2 linked regions of the Oryzias latipes genome follow. The protein of the gene in region 1 purifies or fractionates together with the protein of each later gene. This does not show direct contact. Links are inferred from orthologs where the notes say so. Each region holds a gene or a part of one and is shown on either strand. Other genes may lie near its edges.

Region 1 (4,295 bases):
AAGCTGTAATACCTCGAAATGGACATTTTTAAATATGAAGGGCCAGAACCTGAGCAACTAGTGAAAAGAGGAAAGGGCTAAGAGGACATCCCTGCCATATTCCTCTGTTTGTGTCAAATCTAGGAGTTGTGCCATGTGCAACTTTAATGGAGCTGTTGCATCCATTGTACAGACCCTCCATCACTTTTAAAAATCTTTTACCAAATCCAAATTCTTTTATAACTGGAGTCATAAAACTGTGACTAATTATGTCAAATGCCTCGTAAAAGTCAACAAATAAGATAAAACCATCATCTCTAATATGTTCATTATAATCAATCATTTCTACTATTAATCTGGGAGCCGGTTTAGCTCGTGTTTGCGGCGCCTTCTGTCCGTGAAACCAGGGTTCGACTCCAGGCTGCTCCCTGCTCCCTTCTCTACCTCTGTGCCGGTCCTAAGCCCAGTTTGAGAAGGTTGCGTCAGGAAGGGCATCCGGCATAAAAACGTTGCCAAATTTACCACGCCCTGTTTACCACGCGTTCGCTGTGGCGACCCCTGATGGGAGAAGCCGAAAGAGGAAGAAGATATCTAGTATTAATCTGATATTGTTGGCAATATTTCTACCAGGCATGAAAGCAGATCATTCTTCTTCAATAATGTTATCCAGTCCTGGTTTTAATCTTTTGGTAAAAATGAGAGCAAATATTTTAGCATCATTGTTTAACAGACTAATTGGTCTCCAGTTTTCTATGCATAATTTATCTTTTTGTGGTTTGGGGATGAGTTTGATGATGCCTTGTCTGAGAGTTGGGGGCAATATACCAATTTCTAACACTTCTTCAAATAAATTAGCTAGAAAAGAGGTTAATTTGGCAATAAAACATTTATAAAACTCACTTGTTAGTCCTTCATTTGCTGGACTTTTATTATCTTTAAGAGATTTACTACAATTTTCAACTTCCTCTGTTTTAATTTTCTGGTCACAAGACTTTTCAAAGGTTTCAATTACTTTTCCAATCTTTTCTTTAATATTGTTGATAAATAGTTCAATATCTTCTTCTCTAAAGCAAATTTTAGTGTAAGTTTCCTGATAGAATTTTGCAACATATTGAGAAACCTTTTTTGTATCTTCACTTATTGAATTACCAATTTTAATTTGACGCAGACAGGAAATTTCAAAATCTCTTTGTTCTCAGTTGAAAAAGTATTTAGTACATTTTTCACCTTGTTCTAACCATTTTCTTCTGGATCTAACAAAGGCTTCTCCTGCTTTTTCTTCATATACTTTATTCGATTCTGATTGCAAAGAAATTAGTACGTTTTGTTGTAGATTAATTCGTTTTCATTGATAATCATTATTTTTCCTTATCATTATTGTCTTTGAATGCATCATAAGAGGGGGCGGGGAAAACGCGGAAGTGACGTCATCATTGATCGCAGTGTATCGTCTGCTTGACGGATAGGTGGGGGTACTTTTAAAGCGTTTGTTTGCTGTTTTGACCGTTTTCTCCATACCGTGTGAAAACAGTGCAGGCGTTAGGCGGGAAAGTTCCCGCAAGGCTTGTGCTCGGAAGCGCCGCGGTTACGCGCCGAGCTCGAGCCAACTTAGTTGGAGGGAGTTTCGCTGGAACCGCGCTCGTGAAGCAGGGGCTCGATCGCGTCGCCCCGCGGACCTGACGCTTTCCAGTAAATGGCCTGCACTTTGGAGAAAGTGTTGGGCGACGCTCGGACCCTCCTCGAGAGGCTGAAGGAGCACGACACGGCCGCCGAGGGTCTGATCGAGCAGTCCGGGGCCCTCAGCCGCAGAGTGCAGGACATGAAGGAGGTGGGAAATGCCCTTCCGGAGAAGGTAAAGACTCGGCGGATGAGACGTTCAGGTGCTGGGCGGCCATAGCTGCTGAAAATACCAGTGGGATTTTTTAATGGATAACTTTTGCTAGTAAATAACATGTTAGTACATTTTGTTTGACAGCACTTGGAAGACAATGCAGAACTACGGGAGCTCACAAAGTACAAACCTCATGTTCTTCTGACCCAAGAAAACACTCAAATCAAGGATCTGCAGCAGGAGAACAAAGGTAGGATTCTGTTCGGGCGGTTTCCACGGTGGGTCGTGTTTGTTCTAACCCTCTGGGTGGACTTTCTCCTCAGAATTATGGCTGTCTCTTGAAGAACACCAGTACGCTCTGGAACTCATCATGGGTCGGTACCGCAAGCAGATGCTGCAGCTGATGATGGCAAAGAAGGAGCTGGACACCAAACCGGTTCTGAGCCTCCACCAGGATTACGCCAAAGTACAGCGTCTTTCACACCATCTTTGTGCAGCGTGACATCGTCTCTTTGAGGGCCGGCTTTGGGAGAAAACTCGTGGCGTTTTTACTTGTCTCTACAGGAAGTGCAGAACAAGGTGGAGCAGATATGCGAGATGGGTCAGGTGATGAGAAGAGCCGTTCAGGTGGACGATCAGCACTACTGCTCCGTTCGAGAGAGGCTGGCTCAGCTGGAGGTGAGTACCGACGATCGAGCCTCTTTCCCCAAGAGGTCAGAGGTCATTTCTTCCCCCTAAAGCAGTATTAAAAGCAGCAGAGGGGACGGAGGAGGGCCCACGAAAACCTTCACAACAGCAGACGTTTGTCACAAGAACCAAAGATCTGAGAAGGAACTCCTTTTGTTTTGGTCCATCCATCCATTTCACCTCCAGATCTGACTTCACTGCGTCACTTAAAACTTACAGAAACCTTTTTTTTTCTCTTAAAAACTTCCAGAGATAAAGTTGTAGCCTGAAGGTTTTGAACGAAATGTCTTTTTCTAAAAAACAGGAAGCTGTCCAGTAAAACATTCTAAAGATCACATATTTGTTTGATTCTTGCAGCTTTATTGCATAAATGTTCTTTTTTCCTATAAAATCATTTTATATACATTAAAAAAACTAAGAATGATGAAAACTGCTGTGTTTAGGCAACTCAGTCCCAGGTTGGCGTTTTTAACAAGACTTTGGTTTTTTTCAAATGTTCTATGTAAAATACTTTAATACAGAGAATGTAGGCATTTGTCTTTATTTCATACTCTTCTTTTATCTAGAACAACAAACAATATAGGCAGTACAACATTTTAATTGTGAAAGACGTGTAAATCTTATCACATGTACACATTTAAATCTTTTGTTTTAGTGAAGAAGAAAAGTAGTAGATGGAGTCCGTTGGGAGGAAAGTATTCAGTCTCTTGGTTTTTTTCTCTCTTTCAGATTGAGAACAAGGAGCTTCAGGACCTTTTGGTCATCAGCAAAGAAAGCATCAAAATGTCAAAAAAAGAAGAACCCCACCAGCCTGAAGCAGCAGAACCGACTTCATGAGCTCCATCGAGCTCTGCGTGTGAATTTATTCCCTCAAATGGATTTATTTATAGAAAGTCATACGGCATCTTTAATACAAAAAAAAGATCTATCATCTTGTCTGCAGCTAAGATAATAATTAAAGTGTTACTGTGGACGGCATTCAATTAGCTGTTCTTTGAGGTGTATTTATTAGATTCTAACACGTGCTGTCAAAGTAGATTTAAAGTATTTTTTTGCCAAAGATATATATTTAATCGTCATAGTTTTTTTGGACCCCTGATGTTCACACAATCTCTACTGCCTCCTATTAAAGCCAAGCACCGCTCTGTTTCACAACAGAGAGGACCTTTGGGGAAAACAAGCAGTTTATTCTGATTATATTTACCTGTTTGTTTGAATGAACAGAAGTTTGGTTTGTGCTGTTGCATTTTGTGCAGTAGGTGTTTTTTAATTTTTTTGTATGAATGAAAAACGTTCTGTTTTCATCTCAGGAATTCAGTTTAACTTCATGGTTTGGTGTAAAACAAAATCAAACGATAATAATAAAAGAAGTGTTTTTCCAAGGCATTTGAGGTGTTGTCCCTTCTTCGAACGCAGGGCGGCAGCATCGAGTCAACTTACTAAAAACCTATCGCGAGATCGGAAAAAGTACAGCGCAAACGCTTTTAGGCTATTAAAAACCTATCAAATCACCTTTTCACGCAACTTTCATAATTTCCATTAGTTTGGTTGTAACAATATTTGTCACATTTAAGTGACATTTTAAAAAGACAATCGTCAGAAAGCTCGGATTTCCCACAGAACCTAAACGCCGCATGAGCCCTATATTTGACAGTTGTCGTTTTAAGCTAACGGATCCAGAATGTCTGAAAGGGAACTGGGGAGGAAGCTGGACCGATGCCTGGCAGATGGTGTCATTAAACTGGGTAAATAGAGTCGTGTTTGTCCGGTTTTGTCAACCTGAAAACGAAAAACAAAT
Region 2 (4,180 bases), on another chromosome or scaffold:
AATGTATCATCATTTCACAGAGGCCCTCAGCCTTCGTTCTTGGAGTCTAATGGTTGCAGAGGCGTTTCCTCCGTCATCTCTCTGCATCGTTCGTCCCAATGTTGTGGTTTACTGCATCTGTTGTTGCTTCTTTGATGGAGTTGCTTAACTCACTGCGTGGCCTTCCGGTCTACTCATTTGTAGTCTTGTAAATGGTTTTAAATTCTCTCTTGAACAGGTACTCAACTTTTTAAACTCCAATCGACATTCCTCCAACAAGACTGTAAAATGGAATTGAAATGTAGTCTCCATGTTGAGCCAGAAATGAGATTTTTATTAGAACTAACAGAGAAGCAAATGCATTGTATCCCTAAATATTTTTATCTTTTAATGCAGCTGCTAAATTGTTTTATTTTCCTTTTTGCTTGTAACTGATTTAAATGATTAAATTGTATTGCTAACCATATGTAAGCATCAAGTATGATAGTAACTTAGCAGATTTAGACGACTGTTAATAATTTGATGGATGTTAAATGTTGAGTTACTGTTTTCTTTTTGTTTTGCCAGGAAAATAAAAGGTAAATTTGGACATTTGTAAATAAACGTGAGGCTGGTGGTGTCAACTGGAGATCTTTTTAGCGCCTCTGCAGTGGCGTCTGTCTCAGGAGGCAGAGCTAATGACTCAGATGATTTGAGACAACACAATTTCCTTTATTATAACTTCATTTTTATTATATTTTAACGTCTAAGAAGACTAAATGAATTGCTTCAGCTTAAAATAATAAAAAAAAGGTTCATTTTTAGCAAAAGTGAAAGATTCTAGAATTTAAATTTAACAGCTTTCTGTAGAGCAACTTTTTTTTTAATGCCCATAAAATCTTTAAAGATTTAGATTTTTGATTGACTCTAAAAGCCTGGACAACAAAAAAAAAAGATTCTAGCAATAGTAGGTCAAAATTTGTGCAGTGAATATGTCTGTGGACTAAAATAATGCTCAAAGAATAATAAAAACTATATTTTATTTGTCATTTCTTTGGCTGTTTCTGTTTTAATTTATTTTGAACAGATTAAACAAATGTTGCTGCTCAATATAAAGCTATCCTTTGGTCACATGAATAGGAAATACAGAGGTGTATATTAGCATTTATTTATGATTAGTTTTATTAAAGATAATGACGTTTATTTAAATTGAACAGGATTTATTAAATGGGGTGGGGTGGGGGTATTAGTCTTTTGGGGGGACCCGGGCCCCTCCTGGGGCCGCCCCTGCGAGTGAATCAAACGATGCCAGCCAACACGTTGTGGGTGTGGCTCCGCGGTGACGTCACCCCGTGACAGCTAGCTGTCAGAAAGTGAGTTCATTCGCCTCACACGGCGGAGACACAGCGCTTTCGACACGGTTTTCGCCTTCTGTTGGTATCGAGCCCAGCAGGTCATCGAGACTGCAGCCCAACCGCTTCACCGAGCCCGGCCATGGATGAACAGGCAGGGCCCGGCGTGTTCTTCAACAACAATAACAACTCTGTTCTGCCGGGCGGAGGGAAAGGACCGCTGCCGGATGGCGACGCAGGGGAGGCGGCGAGAGCGCAGTACAGTATCCCGGGGATCTTGCACTTCCTGCAGCACGAATGGGCCCGTTTCGAAGTAGAAAGAGCTCAATGGGAGGTGGAACGAGCCGAATTGCAGGTAAATAAACCATAATGTTGCAAACACAACACAAACTTAAATATTTGTCGGATTTAGGTCATTTTTAGACGAAGTCGTGATGAGTTTCTGGCTTCGATTGTTCTGGTTAGCTGCTAGCTTTAGCATTGCTGCTAAAGGAGCTACAGCGCCAATCCGACGAGTGTTTGCGACCTTTTTACTCTGACTCATGCCCCCCTAACTCGTGTCCTACCTTTAGGGGCTCATATTCTGTCTTTATGTGCTGTCTTTACATTCACACGACGGAACTAACTAGCAGCTAAATGCTATTACATGTACTAGCAAAGTAGTTATTATTATGTAGGGCACAACAGATTGTGTAGCTACACGCTACACACTGCTACCTTCATTCCACGGCTAAATTCATAGCACCTCACCTACGTTATTCTTTAAATCATATATTTATATGTATAATTATATTTTCGTTTTTTATGCGATTTAAGGAAATATAAAGTTAGGGAGACGGTTTTTGCTTATATATCCAGGAGGAGTCACAGTTTTCGATTAGTAGAGGCTACGTCTCCCTGTTTGATATTAAAATAATTATCCGCTGTGTTTTTGTACTTTTAGCTGCTCTAAGTGTTAAAATAAGTATTGTTTTAAAAACCCGTTGGGTTTAAAGGTTAAACCTTTCACTCCAAGCAGATTTAATGCCATAAATATACAATGTTTTTGCTAAATTTATTATTGTTTTGATTAGGTTAATGTTGATTAAATGACGTCTTTTGTGGGATTGTATAATATATTTAAATATTATTCTATGTTTTATTATGATTATGCTTCCATTCGTCTTTTTCATTTTGGCTTAAAAAAAGGAAATCAAAGTCTGTGACTTTATATCTAACACAACTTTGTCTCGGTTTGCGTCACCAACATGCTTTTTTGTTTTTTAAAAACAGTTTTAATTGTAACAAATATATATATCTTGGGTTGTGTAATAATTTGTAGGCCAAGACTCATCTGAAAAAGAGATCTGCAATGGGCTTTCCTGGTTAAATAATGAATAAACTTTTTTTTTTAAATTCCTCATCTTCTAATCCGTTTGTTCCCTTTCGGGGTCACGGAGCTGCCAGGGGTCGCCAGTCTGTCGCAGGGCTACAATTACACACATTCACACCTAAGGACAAGTTACAGTAACAAATTAACACATGAAGTATGTTTTTGGACGGTGGGAGGAAGCCGGTAGAAAACCCACGCATGTCCCCTATTGGTGTTCTATCCTTGCTGTGAGAGCGCTAACCAGCCATGGATAAATGTAAAAAATAAAATACTTTTTTTTTAAATGATATGAGTGAGCAGCATTCAACTTCATGGACTCGGAGCCAAATTTCTAGCATGTTTGCAGGCAGCACTTCAGCTAAGAAAGCGATCAAAAATGAGGGGGGGGGGTGTCACTGGATTGTTGCTGCACTGGTGGTGATCTTCACCTCCATCGGGGTTGCCTGGACTCTGCACACCTTCAGTTTCAGTCTGTGGGGTAGATTACGTTGCATCTCTGATGTTTAGAGACAAGATGATGGGTTCTGATGCTTAAGCAGCCGCGACTTAACCACGGAGGGGAACGGAGGGGTTTTTTGTGTGTCGCTCCTTGGAAAGTGTCGAGTACCTGTATGTGTTTCATCCTTATAATTGGACAGTAGGCCTGCACAATAAATCGCATACAAGGTATTACAATTGGGCGGCTGGGTAGCTCGGTTGGTAAGGTGGGAAGCTACCACGCAGGATACCAGGGTTTGATTCCCGGACGGGAATGATCAATGGTACTGGGGGCAATAACCATAACATTAACATCAACAACACGCTACTGCCTCCCGAACGTGGCTTGGCTGCAGCTCACCGCTCCCCCAGGGGATGGGTCAAATGCAAATCCCACCTTCGAGGGAAAAATACAGTAATAAAATAGGAAAATATGTTTTTGGTTGTTTTGATATTTATTCATGTATTTCAAGTTATATCGTCATCGCAATATTGATCACTGATATCGTATATCGCGAGTTTTCCCTCATGTCATGCAGCCCTATTAGACAGGTTTATGTGGTTTGGCTTTTTGTGTCATGGTGATAGTGCAGCCACTCGAGCATGATTTACTCGTACAGTTTTGACTCTAATAACTATTATGTGGTTTATAGTTTAACATCAGAATAAGGGTTAAATGTAAAGATGGACTTGTAATCCCCTTCAAGGATAGTTTTAGTAGTTTTGCAAAGAACATGTTGGTTACTCGGAGAAGATTGGGCGGCACAGGTATGCAGAGGAAGATGCCTTCAAGCAAATGGTTTTAAATTGAAATGATCAAATGAACGCCCTCATAATCGGCCACAGATTGGCTCTTCATCGACACACATCTGTGGATTTCTTTTAAACATAAGAGCAGACAGGTAGAGCTGTTGCTGTTTGGGCGGAAAGTAAACCACAGTTCCTGTAGGAATGCGGCCCAGCCAGCTTGTTAGGTCATGTTTGAGGCCACTCGCTTTATTGGAGAAACTGTACGCGCCCA

Evidence for each region. The genes of interacting proteins can lie anywhere in the genome.
Region 2: the proteins of sike1 (region 1) and strn purify together in Homo sapiens (affinity purification with mass spectrometry; 4 studies listed by BioGRID and IntAct, with this or other methods). This does not show direct contact. The link is inferred for Oryzias latipes from reciprocal best matches to the Homo sapiens genes SIKE1 and STRN.

Annotation. Positions count from the first base shown.
Region 1 is NC_019865.2:1,582,179-1,586,473, forward strand, and holds the start of sike1 (suppressor of IKBKE 1), read left to right. Parts: upstream 1-1,401; 5' UTR 1,402-1,672; coding exon 1,673-1,831; intron 1,832-1,954; coding exon 1,955-2,060; intron 2,061-2,133; coding exon 2,134-2,276; intron 2,277-2,374; coding exon 2,375-2,488; intron 2,489-3,226; coding exon 3,227-3,334; 3' UTR 3,335-4,242; intron 4,243-4,295.
Region 2 is NC_019873.2:28,037,042-28,041,221, reverse strand, and holds the start of strn (striatin), read left to right. Parts: upstream 1-1,307; 5' UTR 1,308-1,452; coding exon 1,453-1,665; intron 1,666-4,180. UniProt on the Homo sapiens protein: Calmodulin-binding scaffolding protein which is the center of the striatin-interacting phosphatase and kinase (STRIPAK) complexes.